Linked DNA regions of Saccharomyces cerevisiae S288C. The gene in region 3 interacts genetically with the main gene of each other region. Each region holds a gene or a part of one and is shown on either strand. Other genes may lie near its edges. The genes, in order: MMS22, MUS81, RNH202 and MMS4.

Region 1 (10,678 bases), on a different chromosome or scaffold from region 3:
AGAGCTTTATTTCATGAAATTTGATGTCAAATCTTGCTATGATTCCATACCAAGGATGGAATGTATGAGGATACTCAAGGATGCGCTAAAAAATGAAAATGGGTTTTTCGTTAGATCTCAATATTTCTTCAATACCAATACAGGTGTATTGAAGTTATTTAATGTTGTTAACGCTAGCAGAGTACCAAAACCTTATGAGCTATACATAGATAATGTGAGGACGGTTCATTTATCAAATCAGGATGTTATAAACGTTGTAGAGATGGAAATATTTAAAACAGCTTTGTGGGTTGAAGATAAGTGCTACATTAGAGAAGATGGTCTTTTTCAGGGCTCTAGTTTATCTGCTCCGATCGTTGATTTGGTGTATGACGATCTTCTGGAGTTTTATAGCGAGTTTAAAGCCAGTCCTAGCCAGGACACATTAATTTTAAAACTGGCTGACGATTTCCTTATAATATCAACAGACCAACAGCAAGTGATCAATATCAAAAAGCTTGCCATGGGCGGATTTCAAAAATATAATGCGAAAGCCAATAGAGACAAAATTTTAGCCGTAAGCTCCCAATCAGATGATGATACGGTTATTCAATTTTGTGCAATGCACATATTTGTTAAAGAATTGGAAGTTTGGAAACATTCAAGCACAATGAATAATTTCCATATCCGTTCGAAATCTAGTAAAGGGATATTTCGAAGTTTAATAGCGCTGTTTAACACTAGAATCTCTTATAAAACAATTGACACAAATTTAAATTCAACAAACACCGTTCTCATGCAAATTGATCATGTTGTAAAGAACATTTCGGAATGTTATAAATCTGCTTTTAAGGATCTATCAATTAATGTTACGCAAAATATGCAATTTCATTCGTTCTTACAACGCATCATTGAAATGACAGTCAGCGGTTGTCCAATTACGAAATGTGATCCTTTAATCGAGTATGAGGTACGATTCACCATATTGAATGGATTTTTGGAAAGCCTATCTTCAAACACATCAAAATTTAAAGATAATATCATTCTTTTGAGAAAGGAAATTCAACACTTGCAAGCATATATATATATATATATACATATAGTTAATTAGTACTAATAATACATGAAATACTGACAGCTTATGATGCTGATAAGGAAAATATTGCCGCAAACTTTGTAATAAGCCAAAAGCACTAATCTCTTTTCCGTTAGCTTTCATAAAATTAGTGTATTTAAGTAAACCCCGGCCCAAAATATGCTCTCAAATTTGCTTCATCCTTCTGCTTTCTTATCCTTTCTACTTCTTCAAAGCCTCCCGATTTTTTCAGGTTTGAATTACCCACAAAATTTTCCAGTTCATCATCAAATTCATTACTAGCTTTAAGTTTTCTTTCCATCTCCCACATCTTCTCAGCCTTGTCAATAGCTTCGACCCTACTATCGTGGTCAGGGTTTAAAGATTGGACGGCCACCATAACTTGCTCCCTTACCTGATTAAATGTGCCCGGTCTCATAATAGGCAAAATAGGATTACTTTTTGATCTCGAAGGGTTTTTTTCTTGTTCTTCACAACATAACTTAATAAGATCGAAAGTTTCTAATGCCTTACCCAAGTCTTCCTTCAAATCTAAAATCAACTCTTCCTGCAACGTGAGAAACTGTTGTTCTTCACAGACCTTATCGAGCTCAGCTTCCCAAGTTTTTTTCCAATGTGGTTTTTCAGTATCAATAAACTCCTGTAGTTTAAGTACATCTGCTTGGGCATTTTCTAAATCCTTGGATACGGTTTCTAGCTTCTTTTTAGCGGGCTGAGACCTACGCTCAGCAACGTCTTTCCTCATAATTTCGATTACATCTTGCAAATCATCTACTTTACTTAGCAGAGTATCGGATAAATCACCGAGTTCGGTCTGTGATTTTTCCATGTACATTCTGTTGGAAGAGTTTTTGGCAGAAAATGATAAAGACTTAAAGTTATCGACCTTTCGTAAAATGTTGAAAATAGTCTCATTAATATTTGACCTATTAATATTATGCACTTGTTTTATTTTCCCCAATTCGTACTGAATATCTTTGATCGTTTTATCATCATCTTTTTTGTTTTGCCCCACAAGATCGTGTTTGTTAGCTTCAAGGCCAGGTTGTGGTAAAACTTCCGTTTGCTTGCCGCTAATTGCAGAACCAAAACTCATTTCTTTTAAATGTCTTATTATATCATTCTGACTATTCGATATCTCCATCTTAACTGTGTCAATGAATTCCTTGATCGTATTATTTGGATTCTCTTCGAGCTTTAGCTCGATAACAAACCCTTCTTTAATATCGAGAAGATTTAGTTCCTCTAATTCATAGAATACTCCATATTGAGGATCCATAATATATATGTCTGGGAAGGAATTTGCTCCAGGAGAATACGCAAAGCGCTCAATAAATAGGAGCCTTAATGCGTTTTTTGTAGTAGGCAGTTGCACATGACACTTCTTTGTTTTGTCTCCTATCCTTAAAAATACTGGACAAGTTCCATTCATGGCTTTATCTGGCGAAGTTGTAACAACGCTTGATAATCTTCGTGGAGATGCACGAACATTCTCAATAGGCAATGGCGTTTTCGCCAATGGACTCGCCTTTGATACATCGTCAATGCTTTTACCCTTATTTTCAGCTGAATTAATGTTTCTATCATCATCATTGTTGTTATTTCCGTATAACTTTGACTTTCTTACGGTTTCCTCTAGATGCAACATCGAGGGTGAAGGAGTTGTCATGAGGCCGGCAGCCGCAGCAGCTTCTGTTGTAGACTGATTTGTCAATTTAGCCATATGGTAGGCAGAGTATCTCTTTGAGGCTCTCCTTTGTAAATTAGTTCCCTTCTTCAATTGTGAAAGTGCATCATCATCATCAGATGCGTTTGGAGCATTGTTAGATTTAAGGTTTTGTTTAATATTAGTTCTTGGTTTTGTCAATGTTGCCTCTGCTGACTGAGCAGAGGGTGTTCCCGTAGAAGTAGAATTCACTTTTTCCCCATAGCTGTTTTCGACTGAATCGCTTTGCCTCTGATCACGTACAATACTGCTTTTTCTGCTACTTAATGGAGTCCCCTCACGGGTCCCTTCACTACCCAATGAAAGGTTACTAGTAAAGGAAGGGTTTTGTTGATGATGTGATTTTACACTTATCCGATGCTCTTGCTGCATATTCTTCAAAATTGCTTGTTTAACCTTTAGTTTGTCTAAAAGTGTCACTATAATCTCTCTGATTTTTGGCAGATGTTTATTTAAAGTTTCATCAGATGGTGGTTCCCTCAATGTCACTTCCAATACACGTCTTAAAGCCATTGGCACATCACCAACATCTGACATGTCAACTTTCGCATGCATGAAGAATTTCGATACGACTTTGAAGTCATTGCCCAACTGAACGTATGCATCAGATACTAATCTTCCAGAGGTTGTCCCCTTAGACCATTGTGTTAAGACCTGGAGGAGGTGCTTGGTGGACATCAGCAACTTTGTTACTGTCGTTTCAATACTACTACTGCTAGAAGCAGTTCTTTTAATCTTTGGGGTGCCATACGTAGGGTCATCCACGGCCATCTTCATCTAATTTTAAAATAATACGAGGATTACTACACCAATTTGGCAGCCAGCTTCTACTCTTTTTCCCTTTTCTTGGGTTTGTTTTGATGCCATTATCTCAAGAATGCATAATAGTAGGATAAAATTCGTTCAGCTCGGCTAGCGAGATATCTTCAAAGAGTAAAGCGCATCTGCGTGTAAAATTAAATTCAAGAAGTGAAAGAATAAAAGATAGGATTGTAGATTTGAAGTTTAGTGGTAGCGTCAGCAGATAAGCTTATGGATGTTGATGAACCGAATCCTATTGTGATATCAGATTCTGAGGCCACTGATGAGGAAATTAGTATCATATACGAACCCGAATTCAATGAAAATTATTTATGGGCAGAGGAAAACGTCCAAGAAGCAAGCAGATCACAGAAAATTGTCACTGAGAGGTTGAGCCTGGATTCCACTGCTGGAGAATCTTGTACTCCTTCCGTAGTAACTGATACACAAGTTACTACGGGGCTTCGGTGGTCTTTGAGGAAGAGGAAGGCTATTCAAAAGATGCCATACAGTTTAGAACGCATAAAGCATAGGCAGTTGCTAGAGGGCTATGATATCTCTAGTTTTGACAGCATTTCGAATCAGTTGACCTTACCGAAGAACGCTTCTACAGTGATTCACTCAAATGATATTTTACTTACAAAGAGAACTGGTAAACCCTTAGATGAGCAGAAAGATGTTACAATCGACTCCATTAAACCCGAAAACAGCTCGGTTCAATCTCAAAGATATGATAGTGATGAAGAAATACCAAAGAAAAGGCATCGTACTTTTAAAGACCTCGACCAGGATATAGTATTTCAATCAGGTGATTCTACGGAAGATGAACAAGACTTGGCTAGTACAAATTTACAGAATACTCAAAATGACGAAGTAATATTTAGAGGAAGAGTATTGAATGTAAGAACTGGTTACCGTGGGGTCCTGCCAAGAGTTGCTTGGGAAAAGTCGTTGCAAAAGCAGCAGTCTTCAAAAGTCACGAAAAGAAAAACTCAATTATTGAACCATAAGGGTGTGGCTAAGAGGAAAATGAACAGAAGCGCCCATATTGAAGATGAAGAACAGAACTTATTGAACGATCTTATTGCACCTGATGACGAACTGGATATCGAGGAAAACGCCCCTCCAGATATATACTTAGGAAATCTTCCAGAGGATCGTGAGGCTAACGAAAAGGAATTAAAGGAATTGCAAGAATATTATGAGAGCAAGTATAGTGAAGACGCACAATCGGCTGGAACTTCTGGTTTTAATTTAAATGAGGAATACCGCAATGAACCAGTGTATGAGCTGGAATATGACGGACCGGGGAGCTGCATATCACATGTGTCTTATAAAGACCAGCCTATTATTTATTTGAATTCACGGCATTCAGATAGCGGATTTAGTGAGCAATACAATATATCTGCCGAAGATAATCAAAGTGTAATTTCCCTAGATGCTGCTGAAGAGCATAACGATGGTATAATTGACAAGATGTTGGTTAAACCTAAAAGAATTAAAGCAACCAATGATGCCAACTTTTTGAATACAAAAAGTAAGAGAGTGAGAAGATATAAGTACAAATATCGAAATTCTTGTCTGGCCCCAAGTACAAAAGCTATCAAAGTCGGAAAACGGTCAGCGCATAAATCTCATTTGGCAGCTAATAATCCAGTTTCATTTGTTTCTAAGAAGAATCATGTAATTGATGATTATTTTTTTGAAGAATTAGAATCTCAATCCCTAGAACAGGATGACAGCTCTTCTCTCAAGCCACAGAAAAAAAGAAGGAAGAAGAAAGCACCTATATACTCAAGTTTCTCCGCTGATCTTGAATCGAGACGAAAACCAGTTTTCAATACTGTTGTAGAGGTTCCCACGAACCGATACGCTTTCACAAAGCCAAATGTACGTAATAGGGACAGCATTAATCATGACATGGAATTTGAGGAAGAAGACTCCAATCAAGAGCTTGGACCAATAATGGTCGTACTTGACTCAATTTTACTAAAAAAACCTTTTGAGCCACCTAATTTCTTCAAGATCCAGTTGTCAGACAAGAGTTTCTTGCTATCAAAATTGAATCCTGCAGATATAGCTACATCATTACAGAAAATATTCAGAGTAATCATTGATAAAGGTATCACTGATACTGAACTAGTTCACTTTAACGAAAGCCTTATTGCTTTTTTGGTGCACCTTGACATGCCTGAACTATTCGACTTAATAGGTGAATTTCATCGTGAATTTAGATCGAAGGTCAATAGCTTGAGGAAAAAAGCTAAACCAATCCATTTTTTTCAAATTGCGGCATGCCAATTAATGTTTCTAGAAATATCAAGATATAACAAAATTTCAGCCGCTGCAAAATTCGACATGGATGTCAAACTCTTAGATCATATTGTGTCTTTCTTCAAATTACTTTCTGTCTGTTATGATTCTGTTATGAAAAATCCAATGCAATATCTGTACACAAGTTATTATATTCTCTCTGCTGTCGTTGATGTCATACATAAAAAGGAAGCTTTGTGGGATTTATTTCAAAAGCACCCCTTTTCGCCTCATATTTCACTGTTGCTGGTCAACATATTTCCTACGAAAGTCTGCCGCTGGCAGGTTTTGAGATTAGATTCTGAATTCCAACCCTTGAGTTCGGCATTTCGGTTCATCAATTATTGCATTGAGACTTGTAATTGGAATGTTACAAATTCTTTGATTCTTTCTCTCGATCGCATATTCAAACGGAGAAGATTTTCGGACTTTGAAGAAGAGTCTGATTTGTCACAAAACAATAAGATAATTTATCCTCCAACGAATCAGCTTACGAGTCGATTAATGTTTAACAGATATTTGCATCTACTGACGTTGTGTGAATTGTCTAGTTCTGATACACAACGTGTGATACCGATGGGTGATATTTCTATGAATGATTCTCTATCTGTTTTGAAGAACCGCCTCAACCTACTAATTGTTCTAGCTACACGTTTTGATTTAAACTTAGAGAAGCGCTTCCAAGAGCTAACACGACCGTTATATAGTAAGGAATATTTAAACTTGCATACACAGAACACAGTCAGGACGATAACAACATTGATCATGCAGGCCAGCCTTTCATTCCTGGAAATCAGTCGAATCAAAAATCATCCATTCAGTGGAAAATTTATTGCGTCATTATTTGATAAACTAGTACTTCAACAACCTTCCATATCGGGAGTAACAGAAAATTTTTTGAAAGAATTCACAAATTTAGTCTCCAAAATGAAAAGAAAAAGCGTGAGTATGCTCAAATTTCTGTATCCTTCACTGGTGGCCATGTCTCAAGAAAATATATTCGAGTCGTCTTTTTTTTTATTATTACAGGTATATTTGAAGAGCTTAGATGTGCTGGGTCCAACTTGGGTGCAAAATTATCTTTTTCAGTTTATAAAGAGCAAGGCTCAAGAAAATGAAAGATGGATAGAATGCTATTGTCAGATCGGAAAATTCCTCGTAGATTCTGGTATATTTACCTGGTGGACTTTCTTTACCTATAACGGCTTAGATGCTGCATTACACTTTCAGCTTGCATTTCACTCCCTTATTATCGATTTCTGTGATACAGACTCTTTTGAATTACTGAAAAAACCGCTTTATTCCATTGCTTCTGATTTGCTGCTCATTTCCAAAGATGACGCTTTCTATCACTTTCTTTCCAATCTGTTGAAGAGGGCACATATCATAGTAGCAGATTTGAAACCTGTTTCCGATGAGAATGAACTCCTGCGATTGGCTTATATTTTTTCTAAAGCATTGAAAAAAAATGCATATCAAGATCTATTAGCTGTTTTCTTATCCCTGGCGAAAAAACATTACGATGAAGGGGACATCAGTAGAAATTTCTTGGCAAAATATCTCGAATTTCTTAACAAAAATTGCTTGACTGAGCTAAGAAATAATCAACTCTTCATCAGTCTAAGAAGGGAACTTGGTATTTCAAGTGATGAAGACGAAAAATGTGCGTTCTGGGACTCATTCAATGAAGCAGGTGATATACTTTCCAAAGCTGCATTTGTTGAAACCGGTATTGTTCAAGCCTGTTGCACTGGGAATGAAATTGATGGATATCTTGACAATTTAAGCACTTTATTCACCTCCACCATGTTAGAGAGCCCTTTTGCATTTTTTTCTGACCTGGTGATAGCACACATATTTGAGAACAGACCTTTTTTCGACGTGAATATCAAGAATTTTCTTCTATCTCACTTCATAGACCTTTTCAACAAGGTTTTAAAAATGAAATTCGAGCAGGTATCTCCTGATGAATTTGCTGAACTTTGCAAAGTATACAGGGCGTTATGTATTGAGTGCGCAACAGACGACACCTTTAATAGTAATAGTGATTTGATCGCCGCAAAAGATGCGTTTTTGGTATCTGTGTTGAGAATCGCAGATGGGTTTTGGGAGCATGACAAACTTTTGCAGCTAAGGATGCTTGATAGTAATATGAACATACCTAATCAGATTCCTCATACTACTTTGCAAAGTTCGCTATCTGCGATTGTAATAAAGATAATAGAAAGTAATATAGGAAAAATTGAGGCGTCTGAACCTTTCAAAACCTTCAAGAATACGTAAATTATACACATGTAATATAAGCATATTTAAAAATTCTCCGTAATATATGTCATATATGTCAAATTGCGAATTAGTCCAAATAGAAACAAGATCTATCAGTGTTGGTGATAAACATTTTGTATTCTTTTGGTAACGTGTATCTCAAAGAAGTGCATGACTTTTTTTACGTTCTCTTTAGTCTTGATTTAGTTGCTTCTGCGTTTGTTAAATTTTTTGTCCTTCCCGTTTGATTAATAATACTTATAATAATACAATTCTGTAACAAGAAAAGCAAAGTTACTACATTCTCATTGTGGTTTCTAAGTCATCTAATCTTCTCCTGCCCCTTCTAGATAATCTATCAGTTTCTCTTTTCAATCTTCTTAAGTTTCTTTCTTTTTCAATTTCTCTCTTTTGTATTTCTTCTTTTGTTAATATTTCCACCCTTGGGCACCAATTGGAGCCCAGTTCATCAATATCCAGCCTTATACCAGATAAGTACCCAAATGCGGCATCGTTTGGGACATGGTCCTGAATCAAGTGGCCATCTACCCAGTCCTTCTTTATCTTCAAGATAGTTTCATGAAGCGATTGAGATATTAAGGGGATGAACTCTCTTGTTAAGCCAAGGTCCTGTACAATGGATGTAGCAAATCTTTCTGGAGTAAGTGATTTGTCGTTCAAGTTCCACTGGAAGTTATCTTCAAAAAATCTGTCTTGTAAGTTGCAGGTTAGGTTGATTATCACGTGGAGGTCAGACATTATCTCAGTGGCTGCAATATTTTCGAGGTCTTTCAACTGCTCTTTTATTATATTCGCAATTTGAGTTTGTAAGGTAGCGGAAGTCATATCAAGATCTTTACAGTATATAGAGGCAAATTCCTCCGGAGATATGGAGTCGTCATTGTAGTTCCAGAGAAACTGGTCTTTTATGGTATGACCCATATGTTCTATATCCAAAGTAATTGGTATCATGATTGCCTCTCCAGAATTGGCGTTTGCCTTCGTTTCTTGATCAGTGTTGAGTCTATATGGAGACACCACTTTTCCGTTAATGAAAGTATCTCTTATTTTAGGGTATCTCAATATGTTGAAGGGGTTGTGGTGTTGGTCTTGCAGATCCGGTAGAACGGCGTTTCCAATATCCTGTGCCTGCGCTTTGTTGCTCGGACCATTGCTGGCGTTGTTATTGCTATTCAAACCGGATAAAGATTCCACAACCATGTTTGAACCCGCATCGTATTTGTTGTTAGAGATAATACTATCAGCTCCATTCATGTTCTCTAGGACATTGTATTCGGAACCGTCCATGGTAACACCATTTGTAAGTGCCGGAGTATTTTCATGAGACACTGCATTATCTTTATAGTGTGTATCAGCATTGTTGAAATTAGAACCGTTCATATTGAATTCATCAAAGAGATCGTTGTCATATTCCGCATAGTTGACCACTTTAGCCCTTTTATGCTGCCTTGTTTGTTGAGCCATTGTAAAGATGGGGATACCATCATCTTCGTTTGTCAATCTGTTATGAAAGTTAGAAATATAAGCTTGTGGAATAAGCTGGTTTTGGTGCGACATTGTGTGCTGCTATGTGCCTTTCTTCTTTCTTTTTTCAATGTACTTCATTCAATAATCTCTATTTGTCGTATTTTCTAAGTTTTTTTTTTTTGTCAAAGTAGTCGCGGCGACTTTAAATGAGCAGATCATCATTTAGTAGACAAAAAGACACGGGACATCTTCTATCTATATAGTTTACATACTTTATTATGTGAAAGAGTCTTTCGAAATTGCAACAATGCTCGATAAATCTATGGGTCATGTGCTCTATAATTCCTGTACATTAGCATCGGGTGCGTGTAATTTTTGGGGTGATATGGCATTCTCCATCAACTTTTCCTTTTATTTAGCATCTTCTGTAAGTCAGATGCTACTTTTGCACTGCCGTGGGTCTCCTTGTGGCATATAAAGCATTTGGTGCCCTTTTTCATATCTTTGGCAAAACACGATCCACAAAAATAATGGCCACAGTTTGTGACCACTGGAGACTTGTAATCTTCCTTACAAAGAGTGCACTTGAACGGTATCTTTTCCAAGTCTAGAGTAACCGCTTTGGAGTCCTCTTTATCCGCATTCCATTCTTGGTTCAGCTTCCAGCCAGTCTTGAAATCATCCCTCGAGTGTAAGAACTTGCAGCTATCTCCGTAACCACAGTATCCCGTCTGTTTGTAATCTTTGCAAACGTCGGGCTGAAAATCCATCAGCACCGTGGTCCGGATATTCGTTGGTTGGTTAATCTGTTTAGTGAGGCGTTTATTTTTACCGCTCATGTTCAGTACCAGCTCATTGTCATCACTAGGTCGCCTCTTCTTTGCCTTCTCAGCCAGCTCTTTTCTCTCAAAGTTTAGAAGATCTTCTTTAGTGCTGTCGTCGTTGACCGTTAAAGTGTATTTATCTAAATCCTCACCCTTTTTCTGTAGTTTACCTTCATTCTCATGTGA
Region 2 (8,176 bases), 230 kb from region 3:
GATGAAAGTAAGACCAAAGCAGGAATCAAATTGGAAGCTCGAAAGCAAACTTGTGAAGGCTAATTTCTCTGCCCCTCTACTTTAGAAAAAAATTGCTGTGAAATGAGAACGGCTTTTTGAACACTGCAATATAACTTTCTGGAGAAAATTTGTTCTGATAACTTTGTGATGCGTGAAAGCTTAAGAGATCAAAAATATGTGGAGTTTTCAAGTCACTAGTGAATAAAACCAGTGGAATGGGTAAAAAAATTTTTTGTAACGGGCCTGCTATTCTAGGAAACCTAACGAAGACTTTATCAATTTGTTTTTCCTCTTCTGAGATCGTCCGATCAAGCCTAACAGTTTCGCGAGTAAAAAGGATGATTTCTTCTAAATTTAGTATTAAAGTAATGAATGCGTACACCCTGCTTGAAGATGTTGTGCAATGTAGCTCAGTTTCTTCCGCGCCAGGCCACTAGTCTTGCTTTTTTCCTGTTTGTCAGCACCGGTTTCCCAACTGGGCTGTGTCATCGACAAGACAGAGATGGTGTTTTATAAAAGAGAAAGGAGACTGAGGAACGTCGTTTTAGGAAGACTAGGCGAGGTGAGCGAGAAAACTGATTTCCCCATATGGTAGGCTTTGTACCATATTGGGAAGGTGGCAGCCCTATTGGGAACGCGCTCCTTCCCTTTTGGGATATTGTCAGTAGGGTAATATGCTCGCCGCATGCCCGTAATAGATAGACTCAAACGATACTTTGTTGGTGGAAGGATGAATTACCCTATATAGTATTTAAATTAAGAAACATTACAATAAAAGAAAAAGGTAATGGTAACATCTCACAATAGAAGGTAATGAATACAGAGGGATGCAGGGGCCTCCTCTAGTTCTTGTTGAGTTGCACGTAGTTCCCAGGAAACACACCTTGCTGGCCATTGTATCTTCCTGTCCACCATTCGTTCACGTCCGGAGTACGCTGGACAATTTCTATAACTGCGCCGGCAGGGAAAGACAAATCACCAGCAGCTTGAGCTTGGTAGTCATACAATGCGGTAACAGTTTCAACGCCAGGAGCTGCCGCTACGGCCGCGGCTGGTGTGCCCGCAACAGGTGATGTTAGAGGATTAGAGTAGGCCGGTGGTGGTCCCTGTTGCTGCTGTGGTGATTGTTGGAAGCCTAGCCCAGTGAGCGGTGGAGATTGCGCAGCAGCATACTGTGGATAAGTACCCGGAACAGCGCCAGCAGCAGCACCAGCAGCAGTACCAACAGCAGCAGCAGTACCAACGGCGGCAGCAGTACCATACTGGGCAGCAGGTTGAGCGGCGTAACTTGGTGCTGCGGCACCATAACCGTATCCTGTAGGGGTTGGAGAAGTGGCAGTTGCTGGATCATACCCAGCACCATATCCGACACCGCTTGATGCGCCACTGACGGGTGAGCCTTCGGCGGTTGCTACACCATACTTCCTTCTGGTCATCTCCAATTTTGCCTTAGAGTAACCGAGTTTAAAGTGTGTAATAGTCAAGGCGTCCGTTTGTTCTTCCACATTGCCTTTCTTGGCAATGTACGACTCTACAATGTCACTGTTCAAATCAAAATATGGAATCTTCATGTCTTGAAGTCTATTATACAAAGTGTAAAAAATGTTCAATTGCATGAAATAAAATGAGACAAATAATGGTTTCACAAATTCAGCTTCCAAACTGAACAGTATTGGTAATTGAGTCTTTAGCAAGTCGTTATAGTAATCATATTCTTGTTGAGCCACTTCCACTTGAGCTTGTGCTTTATACAATCTTTCTTCGTCTTTGGCGGTTGGTTCCTTCTTCTTTTCATGCTTGTTATAAGTGTTTAGATGTCTATCTAAATCTAATTTTTTGTGATTTCTCTTGGTGGCCATTTTACGAATATAAGTAATAATCTTCAACAGTTCCTGGCATGGCGTAACAATTTTTTCTTCCACCAAAGCCAGATCCGGTTTCAATGTTTCCTGTAATTCTGCGACAATTGCCCTATACTGTTCACTTGCTTCAATACCTTGTGGGTTGTCCTCTGGTATGGTAGCGTTAGGGTCACTCATTTTACCACTGATAGGTTTGAAAATTTCCTCCATGGATTTGGCAAATCCAATTTGGTGTGTCAGCATTCCATTCACCGCAGTCGAGTATCTCTTCGATTCCTCACTTAATTTTTTTGTCTCCTGCTCCAATTCTTGAAAACGACGTTCTGCATCCTCGTAAACAGGATCCTCTGTCTGCTCACCCATCTTGAACTTTTGACGGAAGGACTGAGGAGCCCTACTAACAGCCTTGGTAAACCCTTTAAAACTCATGTGCACTTATTGGCTCCTTGATTCTTGGTGTTAAATGACCAGGTGAGCCTCACTTTACTTTATTCCTTAAAACAGGTTGTTAAACATCGACACTACAAAGCCCTCTCCTTTTTTTTTTCCGGTACCAATATTATCGCAACATCCGAACATCGGTCGGATTGATAATTTAGTCAGGTAGACTACCATAGCAACTGGAAGGTATACATAACAAAATTTCCATACGAAAGGAACTTCTTGAACTATATACAACCTTATATGTGCAACTGTAGCGTGCACTTATAGTCCATGGTCAAAAAGTATCTTTTCTCAGTAGAAAACAAAAGCGTACAGGCAAGCGACAGGAAAGTCAAAACTTGATAGAGGTATGTCTACAGATGAAAGTGAAGACGTTTATTCTGATCTGTATTCCATTATCTCCCAGGTAACATCCAATACTGCCAATGACATCGAGCAACTCCCATATGCTTTAACGTTCAAAACGTCGTTAATCTTCGTTGGTGCTACCATTGGTGGGCTTTTATTCGGCTATGATACTGGTGTTATATCAGGTGTTCTGCTTTCTTTAAAGCCCGAAGATCTATCTTTGGTAGTTTTAACGGATGTTCAGAAGGAGCTGATAACTTCCAGTACAAGCGTCGGATCATTTTTTGGCTCTATTCTGGCATTTCCTTTAGCAGATAGGTATGGAAGAAGAATTACTCTCGCAATCTGCTGTTCAATTTTTATCCTAGCTGCAATTGGAATGGCTATAGCAAGAACATTGACGTTTTTGATTTGTGGGAGATTGCTGGTTGGGATCGCTGTTGGAGTGTCTGCCCAGTGCGTCCCTCTATTTCTGAGTGAAATTTCACCTTCCAGAATCAGGGGTTTTATGTTGACATTGAACATTATTGCCATCACTGGAGGTCAATTGGTTTCCTATGTGATTGCGTCCCTTATGAAAGAGATTGATAATTCATGGAGATATTTGTTCGCACTTTCTGCTATTCCAGCTATTCTGTTCCTTTCAATACTGGATTTTATCCCTGAATCGCCACGATGGTCCATTTCCAAGGGAGACATTCTATATACCAGGGATTCTCTAAGAATGCTATATCCTACTGCATCTACATATCATGTGAATAGTAAAATTAAGCAGCTGATAATTGAACTCGATAAGTTACGACTATACGAAGATGCAAGTGAACCTTTACTAGTACAGTCCCAATCGGTTATTCGATACATGGATAGTTCAACCTCAGGAACTCTTAGCCCACCTAACATTAAAAGACTTTCCTCGAACACAGAAAGAACTAGCAACACAATGTCCTCCTCATCAGCATATCTATCGGCGTTGCGAGGCCCAGCTCCAAACGGTGCCCTGGCATCTAACAAAAAGAAAAGACACAGAATGGAGCCACGCACAATAAGAGCGTTAATAGTAGGTTGCATGTTAATGTTTTTCCAGCAAATCACTGGCTTTAATGCTTTTATGTACTATGCGGCAATAATATTTTCCAAATTTAATATAAAAAACCCTCTACTGCCTCCAATTTTGATTGCCTCAACGAACTTCATATTCACTTTTTTCGCCATGTACACCATGGACTCTTTGGGAAGAAGAGCCATTCTTTTGAGAACAATTTTGATTATGACTGTTGGGTTACTTCTTTGCAGTGTAGGTTTCGGTCATGACCAAGTCAATTTACTTTTAATTTCTGTTGTAATTTATGTTGCAGCATATGCTTCTGCGATGGGCAGCGTTCCATGGACCTGTGTGGAATTTCTCCCCTTGAACAGGAGATCATTTGGGGCATCATGTATAGCCTGCACAAATTGGTTGACCAATGCATTTGTTTCAATGACATATCTGAGCACTATTAACACCATTGGTGATGAAAATACAATGCTCATTTTTGCTTTTTTCACAGTTTGTGCCTGGTTTTTCGTATATTTTTGGTATCCAGAAGTCAAAGGTTTGTCACTGGAAGAGGTTGGAAGGGTTTTTGATAATGGAATTGATGTTCATTATGTCTTTCGTACCTACCATTGATGAGTTGTCAAGTGGCATCATAATGCATTGGGGCGGCTTTCAGATATGCTTCTGGTATATTTGTCCGTGAGAAATTAAGGCTTCTTTTCTTATATATGTATATATTAGTTAAAAGAATATCATCACTTTTTTCTTTATAAAACCTTGCAGGGATGACTATATTTCAAATTGCTAAAGTTTACCAAAAGCATCATATATCTTTTCTGAAAGAGATTTAGTAATTTTCTTCGCACCAGGTGCATCTCCCAGTACATTAAACATCAACAATTTAGCCTCTTCTTCCGAGGAGCACGTTTTATATGCCATTAGTATTTTATTCAGGGTAGGAAATATTTCTTGGATGGCTACTGCTTTTTCTAAAGATATACCTTTAACAAGCATTAAAACATGTATAGTTAGCTCACCAACCGTCTTTAGATCGCCTTTTCCCATTAGTTCTTGAAAGCATTCAAGATTATGACAGCATTCAATACCGCCTTTTCGTTCGAATTCTCGACGAAACTGTAGAAGCACCTTTTTATAATCGTCCTTGCTTTTAAGGTCACTTGGAAATATAACTATGAGATCTTTTTGAGAATAGTGATGAGAAATTACAGTATGCAACGCATGTATCTTTTCCACAGTTTCATCCGAATTGCAAGTTCTTATCATGGAGAATTTGTAATACACTAAAATGACCCAAAGCGCGGTCTTTAGGGCCTCATTCATATTTCCAATGTTGCCACTCATAGTCTCCTCAATGAGATAGTATTTGTGTTCACAGCCAGATTTCTCTAACCTATTTTTTTGCTCCATAAACCTGTTATCCCTTATACTTAAAGCTAAATCGTCTAGCCTTTTTCTTTCAACTATGGTGTTGAGCACACACTGCAACCCGGTATTTTTATTCTTGGCAACCCATATAATATCACCCAAAGCGAGTTGCCTTATCTCTGACTTCATACCTTTTCTTTCAAATGCCCTTGAAAAAAACTCACGATCAGATTGTGACTTTATTTCTCTGTGATCAATAATTGGGAAAACTTCGAAATCACCACTACACCACAATTCGTAACTTACTCCGTTGTACCTTCTCCTCTTTATTGTGCTTTTAGCCTTTAATGCGGAATCAGGTACTGTTTGATCATCAGAGACCTCTTCCAATTTATGAGAAGATATATTAGTTTGGCTATTCAGTCTATCATTTTTAAATACATTGTTCTGCAGCCTTTGCGGCGTGCTCAAATCTTGAAAAGTTATATCCAGCATGAATGAAGTGTTATTTATATCGCAGGGCTCTTCTTCCTTACCATATTCACCACGGAGGTCAGTCAGATTTGCTGTGAATTCACTACTTTCATTCCTGGTTACGGAATACTCGTTAGGTTCTTCATTTTCTTTTGGAAAAGAGATTCCGTCTGCCGTCTTTAAGCTCTTTGTTAGTTCTACACCTTCCTCTGTTAGCGAATACCGTTTTGGTCTACCTTCCTCAAGAACCAACGAATGTTTTTTAAGTGCAGCAATAGACGACCAAGCACCGTAGAATTCTTTTGTGGAGAAATTTGGAGTCATACAATGGTCACTGTATTTTCCTGCAACCTCGATGATTTGCTCTTTACTAACGCCTCGAGGAATGGCATTAAGCTCGAGTAAGGAAAGAAGGATAGCGTAGCCTCCAGATCTTTTTTTGGGTATATACTTCCTAGTTTTTCTCTTTTTAGTTCCCTTCTCTTCGGGAGCTTCATTCTTATCATTTTCGCATGAGTTTACTATGCTACGCAAAGCTGTAGTAGTCCTCTTTGGTGGTCTGGTGCTACTTGTCTGAGTTAAGGAAGGAGCCTCAACGGGAGATATGTGGTGAATTTTGCAATAGTTCCGTAATTTCGTATCTAATCTCTTTATTATTGTATTGCCAATTCCCTTAACTTTCTTTAGATCTGTAGGATAATAAAATGAACCTTCAGCATTTTGTAAATTCCTTTTTGCTTTTTCATAGGCTATTTTGAGTTGTTCTTGTTTAGGGGTTAATCCGTCAACTAATTCTTGTAACCATTCAATATATAGGTCTTTTAAGTTTGATGAGAGTTCCATGCTTTCATGCTAGGAATGTGTGTTCGTATCAATCCTTTGAAACTTTGTTTACGCCAATGTTGATGCCACTCTTAAAGGGCATTACCGCGATCGGTAAGAAAAGAAGTTGATGACGCGAATAGGCAAAGCAAGATAAATCATAGTAACTATTATACAGGGGAAGGCAGATATCTAATATGGAAATATGATTAAATATGAAATAACACTATAGATGGTAAGTATACGTGAGAATAAACTACAAAAAAGTCAAAAGGACATAAAAGGTGCCCAATACATTACGACAAAAACTGAAAAAGTTAAATAATTAAAAATTGTTTAACCATTCTTACAATTTGTCGTAATATTCTTGCCAGCCTGGAACTTCTTCCTTCATACCGTGTCTCTTACGAGCAGCAAGAACAATTTCACCAGCCTTAGAGGTTGGGTCCAATGGGTCAGAACCTAAAGTGGACCAATGGTCGAAAACCATTTGTGGGAAAGCTTGACCACCAGTAGCTTGTCTCAATTCACCAGTGAAACCGAAAGATTCGTTAACTGGCAAGTAGGCCTTGACGGTAAACAATGGAGTACCTGGTCTTTGTTCTTCAGAAACGACTTGACCTCTCTTCTTGTTTAAGACGGAGTAGATACCACCGACGGCTTGTTCTGGACATTGAATTTCGACCAAGAAAACTGGTTCTTGGATCTTTGGATCAGCCAACAAGAAACCAGCGTAAGTAGCTCTTCTCATGGTTGGGATGATTTGACCACCACCTCTGTGGATAGCATCGGCATGTAAAGTAACATCCAAAATGTTAACTCTGACAGATCTCATTTCTTCACCGAAAATTGGACCTTCCTTGGTAGCCCATTGGAAAGCAGCAACAACGGAATCCTTGATTTCGTGCAAGTATTGGACAGCCTTAGTTTGGTCAATAACCAAGTTTGGACCGTTACCGTCTGGACCGAAACACCAGATCTTTCTGGCATCGGTGACATCCCAACCGTAGTCGTCAGCCATGATTCTAGCTCTGGCCTTGAAATCATCTCTTGGGTTGATGATACCGTTTTCAATAGCCAAAGAGACTTCTTCGTCAATTGGTTCAGCCTTCAAGTAGATTCTGTTATGCTTGTTTGGAGACTTGGACAAAGCAGTTTGAGAAGATTCACTTTCAACAGTTTCTCTGTAAGCGACAACTGGTGGGGAGATCTTCAATGGAACACCAGCGTGGTCGTGTTCCAAATCTTGCAAACAAATTTCCAAATGCAATTCACCGGTACCAGCAACGATATGTTCACCGGATTCAGACATATAGGTCAAGACACATGGATCAGACTTGGACAATCTCTTCAAACCTTCGACCAATTTTGGTAAGTCGTTAGCGTTCTTGACTTCGACAGCGACTTGCACAACTGGAGAGACAGAGAATTTCATGACCTTCATGTTGTGAGCAGTTTCACTGGTGGTCAAAGTACCAGTCTTCAACAAGAATTGATCGATACCGACTAAACCGATAATGTTACCGGCTGGACAGTCATCGATTGGTTCGACAAATCTACCCATCATCAAAACAACTCTTTGAATGGCCTTGATGAACAAATCGTCCTTCTTACCTGGAACGTAGTTTGGACCTTGGATTCTGACCTTTTGACCGGACTTAACAGTACCGGCAAAAACTCTACCGAAGGCGTAGAATCTACCCTTATCAGAGGTTGGCACCATCTTGGAGACGTACAACATCAAATCAGCCTTTGGATCACAGTTCTTGATAGCAATACAGTT
Region 3 (7,290 bases):
TTAGAAGCGACTAAATAACTACATATGTAAGAGATCTGCTCCTGCCACAAGAGAAAGCGTTTTTTAGCGATAAAATCAAGATTTCTCATTTCCTAATTGCTTATGACGGACGACCTTCATTATTAGAACGTGCAAATGTGCATTAGCGTGTAATGATACATACGCAAATTACAATAAAAAATAAACATGTAAATAAATGAGCCCACTTAAAATAATATGACATATATTAGTTTGCACTGTCATGAAAACCCTGATAACGTGGTGTCATTTTTATTACACCCGTATATTCATCAGCCCGTCCTAACCTATCCGAACGACGCAGGATGGCCACTAACATCGCAAATAGTGTTATTACTTTTTCCATTTGGATGTTCTGCCCTATAATGTTACGCAGTTCCGAGCTTCGCTGACACGTGGGAGGTGGGATATAATATTTGCACGGGTTCTTTTTTGTGTCGTCTGGCGGAAAAAAATAGACTCGTCTCTTGTATGGCGCGCTAGTAATTTATTATTTGCGATGCGCAGAACCTTATCTTTTGTTTTCTATTCAGTATAAAACTTGAACGATTTCACCAGATGTTTGTACACTTTGATTCATTGCAGCCCAAATAGAATTTTTGTCAACTGCCATACCAAACTTGTTGAACTAAAAAAAAACGACAGCAATTGTTTTTCAACCTGACACCAAGATGGAAGATACCTCGAGGTGCATCGATGATGTACTGAAAATAGGACAACAGGAGAAGGAAATAAGACAGGCAGAGTTTTCTGACGCACAAGGGGAGAGAGAGGAGGTTAAGTGTATTGATTACACAGTAGATTTGGAAGCAGGTCTTCCGCGCCACGAGAGTAGTGGAAAAAGTAATACCCTCAAACAGTGTTATAACGCCGTTCTAGGGTTTCTCGAGGAACTCATCATCGTCATTATTATTGTGTTGCTGTTGTACAGTTTGACAATGGTAGGTCTTTTTTATGTGATGACGATGACGAAGTTTTTGTTTTAATAATAAGAATAATGGGATTTGTTTTCTTTCAAGATTTTTCTTTTGGATAGTACATGCCTTCAGAAATTAAGCAGGGAGGCAAAAGATAATATTTTCTCATATGCATTTATAGCCGAGCCTTTTTTCTTCGCAGTATGCGTTTGTTTTATAGTAATTTAATGATTTTTATGTTTTTGAACACCGCAGTCAAGAAAACAGTAGGAAAAAAACTGCGGGCGTCTTTCATACTGCCTTTAGTAGTAAGTGTAATTTTACAATCTATACGTACCGATATATATACATATATTAATGCATGCATGTATATGTATAAGCGTTGCTTTTATTTCAGTTTTTTCGTTAATATTAGATCTCGCGGGCATTTTCAGATGTAAGCATGGCTGCATACTTGTTTCTCTTTTCTGAATCCTCCTTTAAAAGCTGCAGTATTTGATCAGTTATTTTCTCAATAATGCTGTAAGCCTCGTGACAACATTTCATTAGCGTCAACGCATCCATTGGTAAACCACCCGCTTTGGAAACTTGTACCACTTCACGGTTTTTGTTTAGCGTAACCGTCAATACACCATCTCGCAGTAGTTCCTCTTTCAATGTTGCATCAATGATGGAAATTTCTGAGTTAGTCTCACCTTTTATGTTTTCCTCGGTGTCTTGAGGATTGAAGAAAGAAAAAGTTACACATATTGGAATATGCAGTATACCTAGTGGAACTGGCTCTCTTTCATTAACAGGATGAACAATGATCTGCTCGCCATGGACAGTTATATCTGGTTTCTTAAAATGCATCAATCCTGCCATGACGGCAATACACGAAGCGTCAATAAATCCACCATCACAATCCAGGAAATGTACATCAGCTCTCACAGCCCAGCATTTACTGCCAGCAACGATACATAGTCCTTCCACGTCCAATGCGCCCGACCGCCTAACAGATTTTTCAATTATTCTTGAACATAAAACTTCATCTTCCCCCGTGATATTTCCATTTTCAAATTGAGAACCAGCCATAGGAGATATTTCTGTAGATATTACAAATAATCCTTCAAATGGCCTGTCTTCGTATGGTTGTGCTATTTGACAACTAATCCTGCAGTGAACTTTGGTGTTGCCCATTTTTACGCTAACATCACCAAATTCTTTACCAAACGTTATTTCCACGTCACGAAATTGATCAAAGGAGCGGCCGTCCAACCTATAATTCTGTCTCAGTGCTTCTAAGATAAATTTTGACTCGGATGCGGATATCTCAATGTCTTTGGCCATTTGTCTTTTAATCTAATGTATATTCTGAACAATTTTGCAATCACTACGTCCTGTTGATTAATGTATCGAGACTGAAAGTTAGGAAGTTAGAAAAAAAACTTGAAAGTTGGTAAGGTAAATACAATCTAGCAACCGTTTCCTATTCCTTTATATTCAGACATTTGTTAACATCATCGAGGGAAAAGTTGTTAATTTTTTCTTGAATTCGAGAAAGGAAAAAAAAGGTAGCCCATTCGTTGGTAGTGACAATATTGTGTAATTATCTCGCACTGAGGTCATCACCACCGAGTTATAGCATTCAAATTGCTGTTTAATTATGATACTAGCTACTTACGTTTAAAAAATCCATCAATGGCCCCTTTTCCTATGGCTACTTTTGGTTTTTTATTTTGAACTATTTTTTTGGTAACTTTTTTCACTGGCAATGAAACCCTGCCATTCGAATTTAGGCCTACATTCATGGCACTTTTCATCAGTAATTCTCTTTCAGCATTCTGTAATTCGTTCGTAGTCTCGTAGTTTTCGAGTTCTATGAAGCTAGCTTTTATATCCGGATTTAGGCAACCACTATCCATTGTAGGTGAAAAGGTAAGTAAATTATGGTAGGCCGCCCTTGGAATCAGGGAAACTAAAAGATTTGTAGCCATAACTACCTTGTAGCACTGTTTTATTTCCGTTGGGGCATTTTTAAGTGTAGGGATACTTGGAGGAAAGTTTTCTACAATTTTTGATACCTTGCCTAACAAAAATTGTGTTATCATTGCAGATGTGATCTTGTAATAGACGTCACCAGCTTCCTCAATGGTTTCACTAACTTTTGCTAAGCCACTCTTGAGACGACTTAAAGAAATGTTTTCCCAATTCTTGTCATGGTTATCCGTTAAGAAATCATGGTAATCACGCACCGTAAGAAATTTCTCATTGGTTTTGCTGTTGCTTTTTTGGTTTTCACCAGTATCACTTGAATTGGAGTAATCTTGTTCATCTGCTGAAACACTGTTTCTATAGTAAAATCCAATCAAACTAAAAGCAATATCGTATAAAGAACAAAAGTGTATTTTGCTTGAGTTAAAAACATAACCATCGGTGGGATCAGACGTATTTACAATGAAAGTTGATTTGATCGGGTGATTTTCCTTAGTATAGTGATATTTATCATTTGCCAAATCTTCCTCATGTGAATACGAGGGCCCTTTGCCGAATTGAAAAGATCTTATTTCGTAAAGTTTTCCATTAATATTTTCGAAGAGCTCGATACGAGGTTTGGATGTAATATTGGAAGGTGGCGGCAGTGTAAAAGTGTTTATAGTTTTCGAAGTTTCATAATCGTCTGGTAAAATTATTAGTCGTTCTTCCCCCCCAATGTTGGAAACGGTCATGCTTTTTGTTCGAGAGGCCAGAAAAGAAAGTCAACTATTGCGACAGAATAAGATTAAATTTGTACTCGATTTGTTTCTGCTGTTGTACCAGAATCATTAACCAGATCTGACTTTAATTCTCATCGCGCTCGTGCTTTTGACAAACTTGTGAGAATGGAGTCTGTAGTGCCTTAAAAGGAAAAAAACGCGTTGTGGTTATGAATATGAGATTTCATAATCCAACTATGGCATCGACAACATTGAAAAGATAATGAGCTGGAAGTTGCTCCATTTTTTACCTTTTGAAATTTCTTCTTATATGTATATGCTCACTTTACTGACTAGTAAAATGTCGTGAAAATTTTTAGAGTTCCATTTTGGCTCAAGACAATGGCGCTACGAAGAAACGCCATACTTAAATTCCCCTCATGAACTTAGAAATTCACGAAAGAAGCTGAATCTTTACAGAATAAATTTGTAGAAGAATTTTTCTGTTCTTTTATGCTTTATTCGTTGCTGCTGTTGATAATCAGCGATAGCTGAATTTATTGAATAGAGAGGCCGGGAAACTTCGTGCTACTGTAGAACTGAGATATAGAATACATCACAACTGGATGTATTAGACAAGTTTAATTTACTAGGAAAAAAAAGCTCAGAAACTTACAATTCTAATTAATGACTAGAATTTCATATATGAATCCTAATTCAACGTGAAATTGGTGGACTTTTCAACTTGTCACACTCAAGTAGCTCATTGTTTCTTTCTCTGCTCTTAAAAATGACAATGCCACGCAAACATACGTGTGTTAAATAATGATATCAGCGCCAGATGTCACTGAATGTCAATACTTTAGTTATATCTGCAACGGTATGAGAAATAGGCGAATTTTAAGAGAACTGTTCGTATTCTATCGTTGCTAAAGGCTACAGTATCTGGTATACAAGATATATTAGAAGTTTTTCTCGAGAATTTAAGAATCCACAAAACCAAATTTGTTGGAGCGAATCGTAATTAACAGTGTTGATAGTTAGTAGTTAGGTTGTAGTATTGATTAAGAATAAAAGCAGATATTCTTATTCTAAAAGAAAGAGATATAAAATACACTCCGACTGGACATATTAAACCTTGCCGATATAGCAATGATGAGAGTAATTCTTATGGTTAATGTCACGAGATGAATTGTTATATTGCAAGCATCAGATTAATCATTCAGGTAATAGATCATTGAGTTTACTGTACCCAGATTATTATGTAGCTACGTATCATTCTCCAGTCTGAAACATTAAAGACGCATTGCACATCTGATTACTTCATTTGATTACTAATCGACTATTCATGAAGAATAATAAGTCAATATTCTCACGAATAGTAACTTGAGTTACTATAGTAACAATTTAAGTGTCTCTACTGTATATTAATGCAAACCCTACATACTTTTAAGTCCCTGTTGGACAGGGAAATGTTAAACGAGGAACTCAAACAGTATAATAGCTGAGTTAAAGATCCATTAATTGGAAATACTGCTATAGTCGAATGTACGAATAATAGTAGTCGCCAATTTAAATGTATAGTAACTGCTAGACCCACTATTATGTTCATGTTTAATAAGAACAACTGGCCTGTATTTTCTATATTCCTCTTATATAGCATGAGGAGATTTGCTTTTATTCCAAACTAATACTACATCCTGACCACTGATTATTAATAACACCAGTTTTCATATTACTAATACATTATCATACATGATGCAAAAATACTTTATAAACGGCGAAAAACATTTATCAAATTTAACAGAATCTGAAAATGCAGAGACTGATAATTAATAAAATAAAAACGGTGATTTTTTAAATGAAAGAGGGAATAATGATATCATTATGTGGAATGATCTGCTCCTTTTTGTATTTCCAACAATTTCAGTAAAGTCGTATCTTTCCTACCTAATAATATTGCCATAACAAATAATTTAGCCCCTAAATAGTCATAAGAGAACTCATTGAGAGTCAAAGAAAATCATATTCCCTAACAGAACCTTGATTTGCGACCGAATAATTGGCTTTCTTCATTACATAATGAACGTTTCTTTTAGGTCAAACTATCACCAAGGTACAATCCGATGTAGTGTAACGGCTATCACATCACGTTCTCACCGTGGAGACCGGGGTTCGACTCCCCGCTTCGGAGTTTCTTTTTTATTTTCTAGAAAAATTCACATGCTGATTCATTTACCGTTACTGTTTCACTGTGATGCTACTAGTCATATTCTTCTTATATCAATTTTTTTTCTATTGCTGTTTGCATTACCGCAACATACGATGGGAATAAACAGCACAAGCTGTTGTGTACATTTTTCCTCATCATATAACTACAATGTACATAAGTTAGCTTGAAAAAATTCTAGGTCTCATATTAATGCTTGAAATATGGAAGTATGTCGAATGTTTTATAAATAAGTCGAGAAAAATGGTTATGCTACCAGCTAACTTATATATATATAAGACTCTTTCATTCTTTTCTTTGTCTCTCAAACTTATATTTGTTTACGTTTTGGAGGAAAACTAATTATTTTTTTAATAAAGTAAACATAGCATTTCCAAGGTGCAAACCGATCCCTACCACCAAAATAAGCATACAAGACCGTTACAGCGTTAAGACAAAACTATGCTTCTAGGGGGGGGGGACAAAGCAAGGAAGATTAAAATGAATTCTTCAACTTAGGGGTACTTTAAGAGAAAGAATTCAATACTTGCGTTAGCTGACCACCCCATAGTTCGTTTAGATAAGGATATGGTGTGAAATTCATAGTTGAAGACTCTTGAGGAGGTAGGGAACATCTCTCTTCGCCCACCAAACCCAGTTTTCTCTAATACTCCATATCCAAAAAAGTGTAGCTCTATGTACATTGCCAAGGTTTTCTACTGATCAATATTTGATGGAAAAATATGACATAAGGTATGCGTATTAGTAAACTATTAGGGAGCCGCCGGTACTAATAACATCAAGGCCATCTCACGCCGAGACTTACTTGGACTTTTCTCTATTGTAAAGCGGAAAAAAAGTTATCACCCCGCCCCCTCCTCCGCTCCTCCACTAAAACGATCAGCAAATGGCAGAATAACGCGGTACTAACCAGTTTTTCCGTTCCTTGAAACCCAGTCATACTATGAAGTCCCTAAAATTATTCCGAAATTATTCCCTAGAACAAGCGGGAAAAAGGTCCGGGGAAATGGAGTCCGTGCGAGTTTTGTTAGGATGACTGCCCCACACATTTCCTCATCTTATAATTTTGTGGAAAAATTCATCGTGAGAGAAAATACGAGTCCATTTCTCCAGTGAAACTACCGTAGACATGGAATATCTGCCATTCTACCCCTTATTCAAGTGCCTTTTTTTTTTTTTTTCATCCCACATTTTATTGCTGCCTCAATCTCCATTAAGAAAAAAAATTTATATAACCAAATGACATTTTTCCTTTCTTCTCAAACTTTGTAATGCGCCTGTAACTGCTTCTTTTTTTATTAAAAAACAGCATGGAGTTTTTTAATAACTTAAGGAAACATACAAAAAGATTTGTTCATTTCACTCCAAGTATTTTTTAACGTATATTGAAAGTTCTCAATAGCGAAACCACAAGCAGCAATACAAAGAGAATTTTATTCGAACGCATAGA
Region 4 (5,205 bases), on a different chromosome or scaffold from region 3:
AGGCATCTCGCGCTGACAGAAATTTGCTTATAAACCAGCGATTGGCTATATCTAAAAGAGCACTCATCGTCAGTCAGAAAGCCATTACCTTTCAACGAAAGAGTAAAATAGAAAAAAAAACACATACATAACTATGGAAAAGCTATTACAGTGGTCTATTGCGAATTCTCAAGGGGACAAAGAAGCTATGGCTAGGGCCGGCCAACCTGATCCTAAATTGCTACAGCAGTTATTCGGTGGTGGTGGTCCTGACGATCCAACCTTAATGAAAGAATCCATGGCTGTTATTATGAATCCGGAGGTTGACTTAGAAACAAAACTCGTTGCATTTGACAACTTTGAAATGTTGATTGAGAACTTAGATAATGCTAATAATATCGAAAATTTAAAACTGTGGGAGCCATTGTTGGATGTTCTTGTTCAGACGAAGGATGAAGAACTACGTGCTGCTGCTTTATCCATTATTGGAACGGCTGTGCAAAACAACTTGGATTCGCAAAATAATTTCATGAAATACGACAATGGTCTGCGAAGCCTTATCGAAATAGCTAGTGACAAGACAAAGCCACTCGACGTGAGAACAAAAGCTTTTTACGCACTATCTAATCTAATAAGAAACCACAAAGATATCTCAGAAAAGTTTTTCAAATTAAATGGGCTCGACTGCATAGCACCTGTATTAAGTGATAACACCGCCAAACCAAAACTGAAAATGAGAGCCATTGCCTTATTGACCGCATATTTGTCATCTGTTAAGATTGATGAAAATATAATCAGTGTGCTGAGAAAGGATGGAGTAATTGAAAGTACGATTGAGTGCTTGTCTGACGAGAGTAACTTGAACATCATAGATAGAGTTCTGTCTTTTCTCTCTCACCTGATATCTTCCGGAATAAAATTTAATGAACAGGAATTGCACAAATTGAACGAAGGTTACAAACATATCGAGCCTCTAAAGGACAGACTTAATGAAGACGATTATTTAGCCGTAAAGTATGTATTATGATTACGTCCGTAGAAATAAAATGATATTACATTCACCATTTCATATTATCTTTAACCGGAATCTCGAACATTTATTATTAACACTGTTTTATTTTATTACGAATATTTATCAATAGTACTTTCTGTAAAATGGAATTCATTAAAAAGGTAAGGAGGGGGAAATAGAGCTGCAGTGATTTTCAAAACGACTGCCTTAAGGTATGTTCTTATATACAAAGTTTCGTTCGATCATCATTCAATAGTATCATTTGGATCAGTACAAGTAAACAGTTTGTACAATCTTTTTTCTACTGCCTCAGTCATCAAGTATTTACCTTCGTTGTCTGATTGCAGTCTTCCCTTTTCAATATCTTCAAGTAATGATTGAAAACTGGGGTATAGGCTCACGACATTATTCGCCTTCATTTCAGGCATTCTCCCTATCTGATGAAAGGTTTTCTTTAGCGTTTCTGTACTATCCTGAGCGGATTTTACATTCAAATGAGCATATTTCATATACCGAATTGCGGGATCCATGCGCTGTTTTCCAATTAATGACACTAGGTTCGGCAGAGAATTAATAAACTCCATATGTGAATTTACAGTATGTATTTTGACATGCCATTCTCTATCAATGAAGCGCAATCGTTGCTCTAAATCAAATTTTTTTATCCCTAATTTTCCAACTTGGCTTGATTTTTTACTTCTCGGTCTTAAAGCTTCTTCTGTTCCTGACAATCGTTGTTCTACCCTAGCTTTGTACTTTTCATTTTCTAATTGGAAAATAGCTCTTTTGAGTTTATTTATATCGCTTAGTATAAGAATCACATGTTTTCCATTCTTTGAGAAAAATCGTATCTTCCTATATAATTCTTTCTTTTGTGAAGTGTATTGTTCAAAAAATTCTTGCGCATCATAATATAGAATCAAAACGTTTTCTTCAACTATTTTGGGATCACAGGGGTAATAGAAATCGTTACTAAAGTCGTAAATACTGTCACATTTTCGAAGAAATCTTAAAAGCGGCATAGAATCGTTATAGCTTGATTGCACAACTGCTGGTGCCAATTGTTGTTGCAGATCACTGTCTCCTTTTTTAAATAACTGGAGAAGGCTAGGCGAAAACTCTATAATCATTTGAGAGCGTGCTTTTATATTATCTCGATATATCTGGTTAACTCGCTTAAAAGCATTTTTGTTTTCTTTTAACAAGTGTCGTATTTTGTTTTTTGAGTCTTCTCTAGTATAGTATTGCCCATAGGCAATATAATTCTCTAGTTGTGATACCTCTCTGGCAGTATTTTTAGTACATTTGGGATCCTCAGCCGTTAATGTTTTCGAGCGTTTTGCTTCCTGAAAACAATTAGCGTTGCTAAAGATTGGTTGACTACCTGTCCTTACTATGTTAGACCCCTTTGCAGGGGTTGAAAGTACATCAGTAGTAATACTATCTGAGGAATCGAGAAATTTAGAAAGATTTAGTTCTACTGTATCAGGTAGTTTGGTGCTGTTGATTAGTGTTCTTGATAACGCTATGGTTCTCTTCTTTCCTTTCGGAAGGTGTTCTTGCTCGTCTTCACCTTTATTGTATACCCTTTTTGCCATGGATGTCCCATCTTCACCATGATTTTGTTTTCCTGCTGGTTTCAGGCTATTATCTGGTGAAGAATTTTCATTAGCAATCGAATTGTGCTTTTCTTCAGTTGGGTTCTCATGTTTTACTGGAGACAGTGGAAAATCGAACAGTATATCAGCTGCTCCTATCTGTGATTTCGGACTATCACTAATGTCACTATTGGTTTTTCCGATTCCTTGTGTCTTATATTCGCAGTCAACAGCAATAGGCTCTGGATTTTTTAAAGACTGTACTCCCCATTTCTCTGCGATGTCCCTCAAATTGTATTGTGATTTGTTGTGCTTCTTTCCACTCGACTCAAGATCAGCTGACCATTCATCACTTATTAGATCATCCAAAAGTTTTTTCGCGTTTCCTTTTGCATTATTCTCATTTCTGAGAGACGAATCTATGATGGAATTTACTGTTGTAGAAAAGTCATCTAGCTTGCTTATACTGATATCTTGGAAGAACGGCGCAGAAAGTTCGATAGATTTGTTTAGGTCAACATTCTCAACATCATTCGAAACAGATTTTCTTTGCGGTGATGATGGAATCATCTCTGCAGAGCTTACATGTGCCCTTTTGCACTCATCTTGATCCATTGATTCCGAGAGAGCGATAATTTCAACATTTGAGGGTCCATCGATGATCTGAATACTGGCATCGTTTCTTGAATCTTTGTCCTCAACAAAATCAACGATCTGGCTCATTTAACTAGCTGCAATATGTGACTACTATTATTCTATACCATAATCCATACATTGTTCTTTATTTACGTATACAACCATTTTTTTCGTGAAAAGGGTACTTCAACGCGTTGCAAGCCCTTTCCTAAATGATCGAAAATGTTTAAGGTGAATACAAATTTATACGCATTTAGAATAAAGAAGCTGAATAAAATAAAAAAAATTATTGGAAGATTCCAATAAGCCCTGAGTTATCACAAGCAACCAGCAAAGGTGTCTCATCAACTTCACATGTAGATATAGAATTTATAATATCATGATGATATAGAGAATCATCTACTGAATGAGTGCTAGTACGTTTCATTTTTCTCAATAACATTGTGAGATTTGCCGTAACTTGTGTAGGAATAAAAACGTCACTGAATCTTGAAGGACTTATTACTGCTTTAGAAGAAGAAAGCTCATTTAGGCTAAACATAACAATGGAACTTGTTGCTTCATCGGTAAGAAGAATTTTATCATTAGATACTGAGATAGTGCTTAGTGCGTTTAAAGACCTGATTCCACAAAAATTTAATTCTTCTAAGCCTTTCTCAATTGGTAAAAAGTGCTCCATAGATGGCTGTTCATCAGAATTTATGAAAGCATACTGACAATGCCCCTTAACAAAATTCCATATTGTTAGAAATGTTTTTGAACTACCTCCTACAACAATTACAGAATTCTTTCCATAAAACTGACAAACCTCCACATGCGTGATTGGTGCGTGGTCCCCAAAGGACCAACTCCTTATCAGCACGTTGAAACGGATATCCCATATATCAATAATACCTCTAGTCGTCCCCAAAATTAGGACACAACACTCTTCATCGATACAGATGCTTGAAACGGCACCATGCCTTGGAGAATTCTCTATAATTTGTAACCTCTCCAGGGTTCTAATATCAAATATAATAACCCTTGACAAATTCGTCAATGCTACTAGTAGAGATTTTTCCTCATTCACAAATGCTCTCATTCTCACTGCGTATTCATTTTTACCAAAATTCTTCAAGTTAATTTTCCTGATGCATTCGCAATTCAAAAATTTGACTTCACTTTCTTGTTGGTAATGATTAACCTTTAATACAATTATTTGTCCATCTTTACTGGAAACGGCAAACGCGTCAAAGTTAGGAATCATGGTTATCTGAGTTACGGTAGAGGAGCAGTCATAAGTTAAAGAAGAAGAGTAAACCTCGCCCACGATAATCTCTTTCAGGTTCCAAATCTTGATTACACCTTGATCTGAACCTGTTATTAAATAGGGTGTTTCTCCTGGAGAAACAGCAGAAGACGTAATAGAATTGGGTTCGTTTTCCATCAAAGTAGCTATCAACTTGCCCCTCAAATTACCCATGTTTGGACTCCGTACAATCTCTTGAATAGGCCCAAACTCCTTATAATCTCTCAGAGGAGGTAAAATTTTGAAAGTCGATAGGAATTTTTCTATGCTTTCAACGTCGCCTTCATAGCTGTTGCTGACGACTACCTTCCTTTCTGGTTTAACATTTGCATTATCTTTCAAGCCATGATTTGGAGAATGCATGTGATAGGACGTTGGTTCTAACTGAACAAAAACGTTCTTCAAATTAGAAGTAGTAGTGGCAATGGACTTATTTTTGAATATTAGTGATCCATTTATGTCCATGACGGTAGATAGCTGTTTGCTACCGTTAATATTTAGCTTATTGCTATCTTTCTCACTTTCATCATATTTATATATCTGTTGGTTCTCTAAGTTAGAATCTTGTCCCTCACTTGTCGACTCTTCAGCAAACTCTACATCAAAGAAAATGTTTCTTGGCATAATATTCGTAAGGTTTAGGTTAGGTGGTGAGTTCTGTACTAATGGACGGTAATTACTATTATTATATG

The links.
Region 1: mutations in RNH202 (region 3) and MMS22 together harm fitness more than expected from each alone (negative genetic interaction), as found in Saccharomyces cerevisiae (3 studies listed by BioGRID, with this or other methods).
Region 2: mutations in RNH202 (region 3) and MUS81 are lethal when combined (synthetic lethality), as found in Saccharomyces cerevisiae (3 studies listed by BioGRID, with this or other methods).
Region 4: mutations in RNH202 (region 3) and MMS4 together harm fitness more than expected from each alone (negative genetic interaction), as found in Saccharomyces cerevisiae (4 studies listed by BioGRID, with this or other methods).

What each region holds. Positions count from the first base shown.
Region 1 is NC_001144.5:768,107-778,784, forward strand, and holds MMS22 (Mms22p), read left to right. Parts: upstream 1-3,833; coding exon 3,834-8,198; downstream 8,199-10,678. Other genes in the region: EST2 (telomerase reverse transcriptase), read left to right, coding at 1-1,090; BUD6 (formin-mediated actin nucleation enhancer), read right to left, coding at 1,212-3,578; SFH1 (Sfh1p), read right to left, coding at 8,478-9,758; U2-type spliceosomal complex subunit CWC24, read right to left, coding at 10,067-10,678. UniProt on the Saccharomyces cerevisiae protein: Substrate targeting component of a cullin-RING-based E3 ubiquitin-protein ligase complex RTT101(MMS1-MMS22).
Region 2 is NC_001136.10:1,244,322-1,252,497, reverse strand, and holds MUS81 (Mus81p), read right to left. Parts: upstream 6,415-8,176; coding exon 4,516-6,414; downstream 1-4,515. Other genes in the region: RVS167 (amphiphysin), read right to left, coding at 864-2,312; CIN10 (Cin10p), read left to right, coding at 2,677-4,344; EFT2 (elongation factor 2), read right to left, coding at 6,740-8,176.
Region 3 is NC_001136.10:1,015,721-1,023,010, reverse strand, and holds RNH202 (Rnh202p), read right to left. Parts: upstream 3,644-7,290; coding exon 2,591-3,643; downstream 1-2,590. Other genes in the region: PHM6 (Phm6p), read left to right, coding at 690-1,004; exosome non-catalytic core subunit RRP45, read right to left, coding at 1,347-2,264. UniProt on the Saccharomyces cerevisiae protein: Non catalytic subunit of RNase H2, an endonuclease that specifically degrades the RNA of RNA:DNA hybrids. Participates in DNA replication, possibly by mediating the removal of lagging-strand Okazaki fragment RNA primers during DNA replication.
Region 4 is NC_001134.8:439,622-444,826, reverse strand, and holds MMS4 (Mms4p), read right to left. Parts: upstream 3,313-5,205; coding exon 1,237-3,312; downstream 1-1,236. Other genes in the region: Hsp70 nucleotide exchange factor FES1, read left to right, coding at 134-1,006; ubiquitin-binding serine/threonine protein kinase VPS15, read right to left, coding at 3,512-5,205. UniProt on the Saccharomyces cerevisiae protein: Interacts with MUS81 to form a DNA structure-specific endonuclease with substrate preference for branched DNA structures with a 5'-end at the branch nick.